Linked DNA regions of Caenorhabditis elegans. The protein of the gene in region 1 interacts with the protein of each later gene in a pairwise test. Each region holds a gene or a part of one and is shown in the gene's direction. Other genes may lie near its edges.

Region 1 (5,619 bases):
AAAATTTTGTTTACTTTTTGTTTATGTTGTATTGTGTTGAAAACTAAATTGTGCCGAATTATACGCATCATTTTGAAAAAGGTAACTCTCTGCCAATTTTAAGTTCTTGAAAGTCATCTATCATCTAATTTGAACGGTTTTATTTATGTAAGCCAAGTCAGTAAGAAAGTGAGTTTAAAAAATAGATAATACAAAAAATAAATATGAAAAATAAATACAAAACCAAGATTTTGGCGAGTTTGTGGTTTCTTACAATAAATTCTTGATAGATTAACAGATACCTTCAAAAACAAATCAATGGTTGAAATACTAATTTTTAACGAAACCAGGAATTCCTACAACTGTCAAAATTAAACTGGCACATGGGAAATTGAGTATCAAACAAGCAAATTAATGTTTTCTAGTCAAATCAGGGATCAAACACAAAGAATAAAAAATCTAAGGTTGTGTAACCAATGAAAAACCGAACACTGACCAAGTTTAGTCAAATTGAAAGTGGGTGAAAAATGACTGTCGACCGAAAACCAGTCAGTATGAAAAGTCTGTTGAAATTGTCGCCGACAACGGGGGTAACCACGACGATTTCGGGTTTCACACACCATCAAATATATCCTTTTGTGCGTCTCTCTTATGGAACAATATACAAGTTACGATATATTTTTTTTTGATTTTCTGTCTCTCTACTATCCAAATTTTATATTTATTGGGGAAAAATGTACAGTATAGATTGAAGCCTGGTGAGCAATCGGAAGCAAAATCATTTTCTTTGTTTTTTGTTTTTTTTTATTCGTCGTATCTATTGAAAAGAGGCAACATTGCGTCGGAAGCCCCAAAAAGGGACGGGAATGACAGTACAATTGAATTCTTCTCTTCAGAAATCTGAAATTCTTCAGAGAATTAGAAATACAATTAAAAGTTGTGTTCGAGGGGACAAGAACATAACCACACCCATCCGTTTTATTGAGGATCTGAATGTTCACGTCATAAAATGAAAAAAAAGGGGTTTGTTTATAGGTGTTCTCTATATCGGATTGACCCAAATCGGCCTACAAAAAGAGGAAATGAGATATGAAGTGGCAATAGATACAGTGATATGATAACAAGCATTACGATAAGCAACTCGTTTTTTTCATTGCAATGAAGCAACGAAAATTAGTGAACGCCTGTTCCGAAATCAGATGTACTTCTGGTGATAAAAAGAAATAAACAATCGATGTACTTTTGGTAACGTGTATTCTGTAATTCAGTTCACAAATGTTTGAAAAATTAATATTGTTGCCAGCGGTTCCGAGAGATGTATATCCTATAGTTAGTGTATACTATAGTTCCATTGAAGCTCGTAGTTCTGAAAAATTCGAAATAATTGGTTTCATAGGCACACAAGTAGGCACATTTTGCTTGAAAACCTTATTCTAACTTTTCCACGTATAACCGTTTCAAAACATGAGCTATTGAATCACATAGGTCTCAAATGCCAATCCGTTTGGCTCTCTTGGCTCTTTAGTAAGCAAAGCCGAGAAAAGGGACACCTGCAGTTTCCCAATTCGGAGAAAATGTTCAAAACGTGAACTCAAATCTGTTTGCCAGCGGTTCACAAATTTTCAAAACGTATCATGGTGAAAATATTTATTTCACCTTTTTAAAATCTAACTGAATTGTATCAACTATGGGCTTAATTGGATTATGGAATGTAAAACGTCGAGCCAATCGAGCTGTGAGAAAGTTTCAATTTGTGGTTAATAATATCAGACGGTTGGTTAGAGTGTGGATTTTGTTCAAACACATGAAAAATTTCAGAGAAAAATCAGGTCAAAACCGAGTTTTAAGATATTCTGAACGTTTGAAAAAATGGTTGTCCGTTTTATATCCTCCATGGAAAAAGGAAAAAGATGATGGGATTTATGACAATTTATTCGAAGATGGAACAAGGTTTTTGGAATTATTTTGAGAAAAAAGAAAATCTTAAAATTATTTTTCCAGAGCTAATTCTATTGTACTTCTATTCCGAAACATCCTAATGATTGAATTATTTGGAATAGTTATGTATTTTCTGTTGTCGTTCAAATATTCACAATACCCGGAGTTGTAAGTAGATCATATCCTAAATCTAAAGTTAAATATTTTCAATATAGTATTGGAACTTCCATATCCACAATTATCCACGTTTTTCTGATTTTCACTTTGATATTTCCAAAAGTAAGTACTTCAGGATTTTTATGTGGAATTAATAAAATATTTCGTTTCAGATGATGACGTACTTTATGATTTCTATCCACGTCATGTTGACTACAAAAATCAAAAACATAATTTTAATTCTTCTTGTCACAATGGCTTTTGAAGTTTTATCAATTCATCTATTCACGGGAACATCTCAAACTAATTTCAGGGTCCTGCAATGAATGTTATTGGAAATATTCATCAAGTAGCTTCTGGTGTTGCCTGCGTTCAAATTGATGTTATGAGTTCAAGAAATGATGTGGAAGGGAATGTAATGGATAAAGGAGCTATGCTTGTTTCTCGGTTTCGTGCACTTCTTCAAAATGTATCTGGTCCAATGAATAAGGTCAAGAAAATGCTATTGGTTCTAGATGAAAAGATGACAAAGTAAGTTGCAATTGGGATACCCAAAATGTCAAATTCTTGTAATTTGATTAAATTGATATTGTTTCAATTAAGATTTGTGGACATCATGAGGCGACATTATCGAGTTATAGCCAACTTGTCAAATCAATGTCGAAATATGCTCAAAACTCCCTATACAAAATGTCTTGATATTTTCGACGACGCATATTTTTATTGTAAGGGGAAAGCTCGATTTTTTGGAAGCCACGGCGATGCTTGTGAAATGATTCAGAAAACTGCAAAGGTATTCAATCAGTCAACATATCAATCCTATTATAAAACATTAAGATTTGCCATCAAGCAAAGGGTTTCTCAACGGAAGTATGTTCTTTACCTTCTATCATTGGAAAAGGAGTTAAAGGAGCAGCTGTACCATTTTATGCAGCTTACTTTCAAGCAATTGAATTCGCGGTGAAAAAGATTTTCTACGTACACATTGAAGCAGCAAAATGGGCACTGAAGAAAGTGAATCCAGTGATAGAAGAGATAAAAAAGGCGAAAAACATTCGAGCTGAATACCAGTCATCTGATGATGGTAAACCAAATGCTGCAGATGATACAACTGCAAACTTGAGAGCAAGTATAAAGAAAAGTTTGATGGGAATTGTGAATGTATACATACGGATTATCAATATAATTTCATTTATTCTTCGATATTGTATCATGCCAGGATTGCTCATATGGCCGTTCATCTATGTGAGTTTAAATAAGTAATATGTTAACATACAAAATTTTGAACTGATATTTTTCAGACACTTCGGTTCATGTATAACTACAACTATAATGACGACTTTAAAAACCGTTTTCTCACAAAAGAATTTACAAAAATTGATCAAGATTGTGCATTTCGCGGAGCTCGTAAAGTCATGCCATTAATGGCAAATGAATCAAAGCAGGTAGGTTTCTCTGGTTCATTATCATTCTAAAAATCTTAGACACCGTTTAGTATGTCAGTCGAGGTCAGTGGAAAATGACAGAACAAGAGCGACCTAAATTTCGATTAGATATTTTCATCACAATTGTCAGTTGTGTCACTCCTTTCTTTATGTGTATGCTTGATTATGGTATATTTACGGTAATTAAATGAATAAAATTATATTGACTTCAAATCTATAGATTCAAAGTTTCAGACTCTATCAACTGTTCATACTTTAATGAACCGAACAAATATCGATACTCCTGCTCATTATGAATTGAAAGTTGCTGGAAATAGTTCAATGTCAGATGTGATGAATGAATTTCTCGATGTTTTCAGTCCATTTACTAAAAGTATTCGAGACCGTGAAAATCGTTGGAGACGATGTTTCAACGAACCAAATCCTCCAAACTATACAGAAAATATGGTGATGTTTCTCATGTTTATCGCTGCACTTTTTCTTTGTCGATTGAAGGTTTGAAGAGTTGAGGAGTACTGTTAAGATATATTTAATTTTTGAAGGCATATTTTGGAAGGCAAACACTTGTATTGGCAGATTACTTCTTTCCGAATCGAGTAAGAATTCGTGCATTGAGCCTTTATAACAAAATTTTACAAAGTCGACGAAATTTGCTGACAGAAATGTTAGGAAATAATAAGGTAAATGGGAATTTCCGGTCTCGAGTTGACTGAAATATTTTCAATTCCTCGATATTCACAACTTAAACATTGAAAAAAAGTTAGCCACTACAGTACTACTTACTACATCACTACGTCACCGGTACCGTATTTTTTGAGTGATAAATCCCGATTTTGCGAATTGATAGTATTCAAAAACAGATATATTTTTTCCTGAATTTGACATTCCGATTTGATTTAAAAGTAATTTTTGCACTCGTAACATTGATAATTGACAGAAAGATGTAGTGGGTGGTGAAGATGTCATAATTCGGAGAACAATGCAAAGTCGTGGATTCGTGTGCTCCGATTGTGTAAAATGTGAAAAGTACGATATGAAAGTGTCTGATCAAGAGTTAGTTTTGTTTATTGATGATCAAGAAAACAAAGCTATTAATTCAGAAATGTGCGAGTGTGTGTTCATTGTAGTGCTTTTTACTGTATCAACTGTTTCTCAGTGACTCTTTTCTGTGTGAAATGCGAGGAGGAAATGCAATGTATTAACGGGATTGAGCTATACTATGAGGAGAGTAACGCAATTATTGATGACTCAGGTAAAATTAACTTTATTTAAACATTAATAATCATCTATTCCAGATATTTCATTGAGTGAACGCGAAGACGACGAACCTGACAAAGAACCAACAGAAGGAACAACCACCACCGCAGTAACCACTGTCGTCTGAATGATGTTTGAAAAATTAACTTTCCCGCCGTTGGGGAAAGCGCGCTCCAATGACAATGTACTTTTCGAGTTCAAATTTATTTGCCTTTTGGCGCAGTTTTCGAAATGATTTCGTTCATTTATTAGTTTTCTTATTATTTCCTCGAACTTCAATGATTATTTTCCAATTGAATTCAAATAAATTATCATTTAAACTTCATTTTATTTGTTATTTATGGGTTTTCCCGTTTGGAACTCTAATTCACTGATTTATTGTTTCAGAAATGATGGGTGATAGTCATTCTTCATTCACAACAACGACAGATGAACATCTATATAATCAATTTTCTCCGGGAAGAAGGTATCAATTAAGTAAAGATTCATACAATGAGAATAATTATAGAAAGAACGATTTTCCCGCTGCAAGCAGTTCATCATCTTCACCAAACTTGCGAAGGTCCCCAAACCGCACAGTCAGTTCACCGCGTGTTCAACAGAAGCCAATCACAATTTTCGATCAAATCGTGGATTGGTTTCAAGCGGAAATCAGTGTTAGAAAGAGATTAGCTGGTGCTGCATGCGGATATCTGTCCACCATTTTCTTCATTGTCACAGTATCCATTTTGAAACTCACGATTTGGGCCCCTTTCAGCTCAGTTCAAGGTTGACGTTTATTTATTTTTCTATGATTGGACATTTCTCTTTTTCAGACTCCCTGGCGTGGTGGATTTATCCAAAC
Region 2 (7,333 bases), on another chromosome or scaffold:
ATTTTTCCTAACTACAGTAACCCTACCGTAATCCTACAGTACTACTACAGTACCATTACAGTACCTTGACATTATCATCCACCAACTTTCAAGCCAACACCTCTTCAAAAGTTTAAAATTCAATTTTTCTTAAACTACAGTAACCCTACAGTAATCCTACAGTACCCCTACAGTACCACTACAGTACCTTAGCATTATCATCCACCAACTTTCAAGCCAACACCTCTTCAAAAGTTTAAAATTCAATTTTCCTGAAACTACAGGAACCCTACAGTAATCCTACAGTACCCCTACAGTACCACTACAGTACTTTGACATTATCATCCACCAACTTTCAAGCCAACACCTCTTCAAAAGTTTAAAATTCAATTTTCCTTAAACTACAGTAACCCTACAGTAATCCTACAGTACCCCTACAGTACCCCTACAGTACCACTACAGTACTTTGACATTATCATCCACCAACTTTCAAGCCAACACCTCTTCAAAAGTTTAAAATTCAATTTTCCTTAAACTACAGTAACCCTACAGTAATCCTACAGTACCCCTACAGTACCCCTACAGTACCACTACAGTACCTTGACATTACCATCTACCAACTTCCAAGCCAATACCTCTTAAAATGTTTAAAAATCAATTTTTCCTAAACTACAGTAACCCTACAGTAATCCTACAGTACCCCTAAAACACTACAGTACCTTGACATTTTAAATTGATATGACACATTTAAATTAAATTTTGAATTCCCGCCAAAATGGTTTCAAAAAATTAAATTTTGAATTCCCGCCAAAATGTTTTCAAAATTTAAAATTTTGAATTCCCGCCAAAATATTTTCTCAGAAAATTTGAATTCCCGCCAATTTGTGATGACGTCACAAAAGGGGCGGGGCCTATGTGACCCCTCTTGTGTGATTGAGACTACAAACTACAGAGTTCAAAGACCAAAGATCAAAGATCAAACTACATAGGGACAGAACGACACGCGCTTTATATATAGTAAATTGATTATGGCAATAAAATAAAGTTTCTTAATAATTTTTTGGATTGGATTGTAAACAATTTTATTATCTCAAACAAACCAGATTTTTCATGGATTTAACTGGATCCAAGGGTCTCGATGATCTGCTGGTATTGAGCGATCTTTGGGGCGGCATTCTTCTTGGCTTGAACGGTTCATTCTAAGTATCTTATTTTATTCAGCGATTTCGTACACCTGCACCATATGTGGCCATCGAGACGCAGAAGATGACTGAGACTGAAGAGACTGGAGAATTTGATCATGTTACTGTGCGCGTCACTGCTATAGAGCCCAAGAAAATGCTCTCTTTTTTCTAGTACTGAATAGTAGTTTGATTGAAAATCTCCTGACTGGGCAATTTTCGGTTTGTACGGTGGAGCGCGTTTGCGTTCATCTAGATTTTGAAAAATATAAAAGATAAACTAAAAAAAAAGTTTCCCGTGTTCCAATAAAAAACGAAACATTTTAATTTTTGAATTGGCGTGAACTTTTTTCTACCGCCGCTATATTCTGGATTGAGGGGGGAGGGATACGTGGAAAAAAATGTCGGAGTGAAAAAAAATCAATATATTTATTTCAAGGTTTTCGTTTTCCAAAAATGGTGGGAAAGGAAAAGAAGGAATCTACGAGGCTAAAATTAAGGTGAGTGCTTTCAATCGCCTTGCAAGGATCCTTGGAAATGGGAGAATGGCCGTGCGAAACCTCTTCCACGGCGCCAACCATCGGGTACTGTAGACGAGATGTTTCGCTCGTGTCAGGACCCAAGTTTTCATCAACAAATTTACATTTTTTCAGCGCAATAAAAGAGTATCTTGGAAAATATAGAGGTGTAGACGCAGACAATAATGAAGGATACGATGGTCATCAGAAATGGCATGAAAATGATCAAGTTGTACGCAGGACTTTATCAGATTTTACAGGACAAATAGATAAATTTCAGGTTCTGCAAGCCATGGCCTACTTCTATAAGGCTGTGAAAAGCAAATTATACTCTGAAGTACGATCTTTTTTGGGCATTTTGCTTCCACATGGCCCGGACGATGGTCGCCTTTCTTCTCTTCAAAGTCTTCTAATGGATACATCTTCTGAAGAATCTCTTAAAGTTCGTCAACGCCTGAAAGACCGCTAAAGGCCGGCCTAAGCCGGCCCACCTACCGCCTACACCCTAAAGACCCTCTAATGGCCCGATAACGGCCCGCATACGGCAGCCAACGCCTAAAGGCCTAAAGGCCCGGTAAGGCTGGCTATCCACCGACGAAAGCGTACGTCCGCCTACGCATACCTACGCCCGCCTACTTTGCCTATATCCACCTACGAACGCCTGCACCCGCCTACAACGCATACACTCGCCTACATCCGCCTACGTCCGCGTACGCCGGCCTACACCCCTGAAAGACCTCTCAAGACCAGGTAAGGTTTGCTAACGCCCGCCTACACTCGCTTATGACCGCCTACGACCGCCTACTTTGCCTACATCCACCTATGATAGCCTGCACCCGCCTACAACACATACGCTTGCCTACGTCCTGTAACGCCCTTTTGAATTACAGGAAGCTCTTCTATTATCGATTGCCGTCGGAAGTCGTCCACTAGTCGAGTTTGTTCTCGTACTTTTCGTCGATGCACCATACCTTGAAAGAAGTGGTAAGTGTGAGGAAGTTTGTATTAAAGCGCATTTGCATCACACTAATTTCAGGATCTGCTAATTCTCCACATTTTCCACCACATATGACTCCACTGATGCTGGCATGCATTTTGAATAATTTTTCGATTGTTCAGTGTCTTATAACTAGAGGACATTGTATTCAGATACCACATTTCATTACTTGTGAGTTCAAACATCATATTTGACGCGCAAACATTGCAAAAGAGCGAACATGCGTCGGTAGGACCGAATGCACCATATTCTACGCGCAAAAATGGTAAAGTGTTGCAGGTGAATGCAAAACCTGCAAACGGGAAACCGTAACAACCCACTCATCAACTCGCCTCGTCGACGTCATGCGTGCACTGTCCTCTGAAGCCTACCTGTGGCTGGCAACTGATGACGTGTTCGCTGCCACGTGTGCTGTCGCCCGAGACCTTCAACAATTGGCGAGCGATGATCAGCTGGAATACGTGGAAACCTATCGAGACCTCGAGATGAATGTGCAACGGTTTTTGTGCAGAATTTCAGATCAAGCATGGAGAGTCGACGAGTTCAATATGATGGTTGCTAATGTAAGAATTTGTGTTAAATTTTAGATATTGGGAGAATTTAAATTGAATTTCAGAGAAACTACTGCCCGGAAAGAATGACTGAAATCTCATCACCGCGTCTTCAAATGGCTATGGATTCTCAAATGAGACAATTCACGTGCTCCACCAATTCACAGACAACTATTAAGTCTGTCTTCAGATCAGGTAACTGTTTTTGAGGGTGAAGTCCTGAGGCGAGCCGTAGGCGATGATGAGGCGTAATCGTGCCTACCTACCATAGACTTTCTAATGGCCTTATAGCTGACCTCATACACTTTTCAGACTGGTACAACTATGGAATCAAGCCAAAACGAGATGCTTGGCGTTTTCTGCGAGCCTGTATCCTGATGCCATTCCTTGTGATGCTTCATGCATTTATGCCAACAAAGGGTACAACAATGTGCGTTCCACTTGCTCGATTCATTGCTCACATCACAATGTACTTGGTCTTCCTCATCGCCGCAATTCTCCGTCCAACAATCGGTTTCTACTTTGCATGGACTGATAGTAGTAAGTGGATTTTGAATTTTCATAGTTAAAAGCTTAGGTTTAGGTTTAGGTTTAAGCTTAGGCTTAGGGTTAGGCGTAGGCTTAGGCTTAAGGTTTCACCTTAGGCTTCGGCTTAAGATCGGGCTTAAGCTTACAACATTTTTTGTGAAATTGAAATTTTTTCAGTTGAAGTAACTGTACAAGCACTCGAAATCTTCATGTACGCCTATGTGATGGGATTAGCTCTGGAGAAGGGAATTCTATTCTATAGAGTCGGACGAGATGGATTTTTTGCCTTCTGGTGGAGATGGTTCGATGCGGCTTTGATCTTTATTTTCTTGTTTTCACTGATATTTTTTACTGGAAAATGGGGAAAACGAGAAGCTTTCGATCCGAGTTCCGTTGACAGAATGCACTGGGTTCGGCTGAAATCTTTTGAATAATTAATTAGTTGAAATTTTCAGCCATCTTTCGAATTCTCACTTCTCCATGAGATATGTCTTGCGATCGCCTGTGTGCTGAGTATTTTAAAATGTTTTTACTATGCTCAGATGATGAAATCAATCGGTGGATCTGTTGTAAGTGGAGTTTGCGCGTAGAATTCGATGTTTTGACCGCAAAAACAAAAAAAGTCTCTTGAGCTACATAGGCAGACAGCCTGCCCAGATACTTACCTACTGTCTATTGTGTGTGCTTTGGCAGCGGGAAACTGAATATTTTCAAGTCATCGTACCGCTACAGTATCCCTACAATACTACTACAGTGCCCAACACAGTAATCCTAGTAGTCCTACAGTGCCATTACAGCAAGTATACAGTGGTTATACAGTAGTCCTACAGTCCTCCTACACTACTCATTCATATGTCTAATACTAAGTTGTTCCCAAATTAAAATAATCCTACAGTGCTACTACAATAATCTTACAATAGTCCTACAGTAATCCTAAAGTAATCCTACACTCGTTCCACAGTAATATCACAGTAATCCTACAGTACCACTACAGTAGTCCTACAGTAAACTTAATTTTTCCAGATATCTGTCGGAAAATGTGTTGGGAAGACGTACACATACATACTCATCATGGTCGCAATCATCGTTTCGTTTTCTGTTGGATTGAATATTATCGTCGACCCATACTTGAATCGAAGTACCATGAAAATAGGAGATCAGGATTATACAAAGACCACGGATTCTTATGAAACGTCAGTTCTTTTTTTCTATATTTTATCTGAGACAACATATATATTTTCAGAATTGGAACATCCTCTAAAAACCTGTTCTGGTCAATTTTCGGTTACTTGGGACCCTCAACATTCACTACAGTTGTTGGAAACACTGGTCCAAACATGGATCCTGTGAAACATACTTTGAACTCGTCAACTTTCGAAATTCTCGCTGCTGTTTATCACGGAATTCTGATAATTACAGTACTCAATTTGATGACATCGATACTTGTGAAAGGAGCTGATGAGGTGTTGGATAATGAGGAAATGGAGTTCAAATTCACACGAGCAGCTATTTATTCCGAGTTTCTCTCGTGGGAAATGGCGGCTCCGCCACCGCTTAATTTGATTCTTGTAGTTGCTCATTTTGTGCATCGGAATTTGGTACGTTGAATTCGAATTGGAATTTTTCAAAAACCTCTGCTTTCAGCTCAAGAGATACTATGCTTCACCGGCGTGGGGCGAGAAGCCGGCAAATGATGATGTTGAGGATCAGGCAGCAGATGAGCAGTACATGGTGAGTCTGAAGCTTGAGTTGTAGGCAGGCACGCCTACCTACGAACCTGCCTGCTGCCTATTTGTACAATGAGCTGACACATAAAATTTTGTGTATTTTCAGCAACTTCTGATGGTGGTTTTCGCTCGATTCGTTGCTTCCAAGGAGTGCAAGTACAAGTCGATTTGGAGATCCGAATTTCATGTAAGCTTGGCTAGGCGTAGGCAGGCATGCGGTATACTGTAGGTCTGGAAAGAAGTTTACGCGCATTTGCACCAGCCTTTGAAAATTTCGAAACCATTTCATTTACTATATATAAAGCGCTTATTCTGTGTGTCCATAGTTTGTAGTCTATGTAGTCTTTGTAGTCTGTGAAGTTTTGGCTTCTGTGGGGATAGTGAGTTGGGGTTAGTGTAGGGATATAGTCGGGGTACTGTAGTGGTACAATAGTGGTACGGTAGGAATACTGTAGGGTTACGGTAGTTTCAGAAAAGTTAGTTTTCAGCCCCAGAAGTCGGGGGCCGCGCCGGAGGTGCGGTCCACGGCTGGTTTAGGAATAACATTTTTGGGTTTGTTGAGCTTTTCATGCAGGCCTGGGTACTAGAGGGGTGGGCCTTAAAGTCAGGCAGGCACCTCAAACATGCCTGCCTGTGCCTACCTTAAGTTTGGCTGCCTATTTACGTGACTTATACAAGTATGCCTCAAAGTCTACGTGCCCCCCTCAACTCTGCGTACCTGCCTACGTGCCTGCCTACCGCCTATTTCCGATTGTAGTCTGAAAACGTCTACCGACGACCGTATCTAACTCAGTTGGTACTTGTGTAGACATAAGGCAGGCGTAGGCAGGCAGGCATGCATTTCCATATAATTTATGGAATTTTCAGAGAGAGGAAAAACAACCGCCTCGAGTGACATTCCTCACAACCGGAGCCCATTCCTTCCTTATGGACAACACTTTCGAAGGATTCAAAATGAGGTCATCTCGAACCATGGAAGCTGAAGGATACAAGGAATACACCACTGTCCAGTATTATGTGCCTAAGAGTAAGACACCGGGTCCAGCTGCTGCAGCTGATGCAGGAACTAAAGTGGCTCCGAAGGATGACAAACCTCAAAACAACCCGGTTCTAGCTAGAACTGGAATCGATTCTCCAGTTCCATCTTCTAAACAGGTTATGTCTTCGGAATTATCTGCTAGCATTCCGAGAGCTCGCGACGTCACATTCCTCGGTGTCTGAAGCAATCGGAGTTTTTGTTTTAAGCGGAAAATATTAATTATGTATCCATTGTGTTTATTATGACTTCGAACTGAAATAAATCGAGAAATTGGAACTTTTGTGATTTATTTGCTATTCAATTCTGATAGATAAAATACAGCAAAGCACGAGCAGGAGGTAGGCAGGCAGGTGGGCAGGCAGGCGAGCTAACAAGCAGCTTCGATGTGATGGATCGGCAAGCTGGGAGGTAGGTAGGTTTAAGATCAGTAAGAAATAGACAAACAGGCTCAAGATAGGCAGGCGAACAGGTAGGCAGGCCGGCTTCAGATAAGCATATATGCAGCCAGTTGATGTTAGGGATGTCGGCAGACTTGAGATAGGCCCTTCATGTAGGCATGTAGGCAATCATAAGGTATGCATGTACGCAACAATACCCATACATGTTCCTCTAACTATACGTATTCCCCATCATATCATCATCACCCGATTCAAATAGTTCCCATTCCAGTTCCAAATTGCTGTCGTCGATCATCGATGAATCCGCCCTTCCAACTTTTGTTACAGCCTCCTCTTGGCTTCGCAAGTCAATAATTATGATCGTAAACGATTGGAAATGGATTTGAAAGAGAGATAGAAAGGGGAAGAACAGAGA

What was found.
Region 2: the proteins of spe-42 (region 1) and spe-41 interact in a two-hybrid assay, tested with the Caenorhabditis elegans proteins (one study listed by BioGRID).

Annotation. Positions count from the first base shown.
Region 1 is NC_003283.11:11,733,016-11,738,634, reverse strand, and holds spe-42 (Dendritic cell-specific transmembrane protein-like domain-containing protein), read left to right. Parts: upstream 1-1,638; 5' UTR 1,639-1,666; coding exon 1,667-1,752; intron 1,753-1,797; coding exon 1,798-1,929; intron 1,930-1,980; coding exon 1,981-2,085; intron 2,086-2,132; coding exon 2,133-2,196; intron 2,197-2,246; coding exon 2,247-2,339; intron 2,340-2,386; coding exon 2,387-2,604; intron 2,605-2,676; coding exon 2,677-2,866; intron 2,867-2,910; coding exon 2,911-3,318; intron 3,319-3,374; coding exon 3,375-3,518; intron 3,519-3,568; coding exon 3,569-3,697; intron 3,698-3,752; coding exon 3,753-4,013; intron 4,014-4,060; coding exon 4,061-4,198; intron 4,199-4,455; coding exon 4,456-4,571; intron 4,572-4,618; coding exon 4,619-4,770; intron 4,771-4,813; coding exon 4,814-4,902; 3' UTR 4,903-5,095; downstream 5,096-5,619. Other genes in the region: npp-22 (Nucleoporin ndc-1), read left to right, coding at 5,165-5,241, 5,284-5,543, 5,591-5,619.
Region 2 is NC_003281.10:3,438,474-3,445,806, reverse strand, and holds spe-41 (Transient receptor ion channel domain-containing protein), read left to right. Parts: upstream 1-1,599; 5' UTR 1,600-1,616; coding exon 1,617-1,660; intron 1,661-1,813; coding exon 1,814-1,910; exon of another isoform or gene 1,911-1,958; coding exon 1,959-2,120; intron 2,121-2,568; coding exon 2,569-2,662; intron 2,663-2,714; coding exon 2,715-2,846; intron 2,847-2,954; coding exon 2,955-3,238; intron 3,239-3,291; coding exon 3,292-3,421; intron 3,422-3,538; coding exon 3,539-3,766; intron 3,767-3,931; coding exon 3,932-4,164; intron 4,165-4,209; coding exon 4,210-4,323; intron 4,324-4,777; coding exon 4,778-4,947; intron 4,948-4,997; coding exon 4,998-5,352; intron 5,353-5,398; coding exon 5,399-5,485; intron 5,486-5,587; coding exon 5,588-5,668; intron 5,669-6,348; coding exon 6,349-6,702; 3' UTR 6,703-6,796; downstream 6,797-7,333.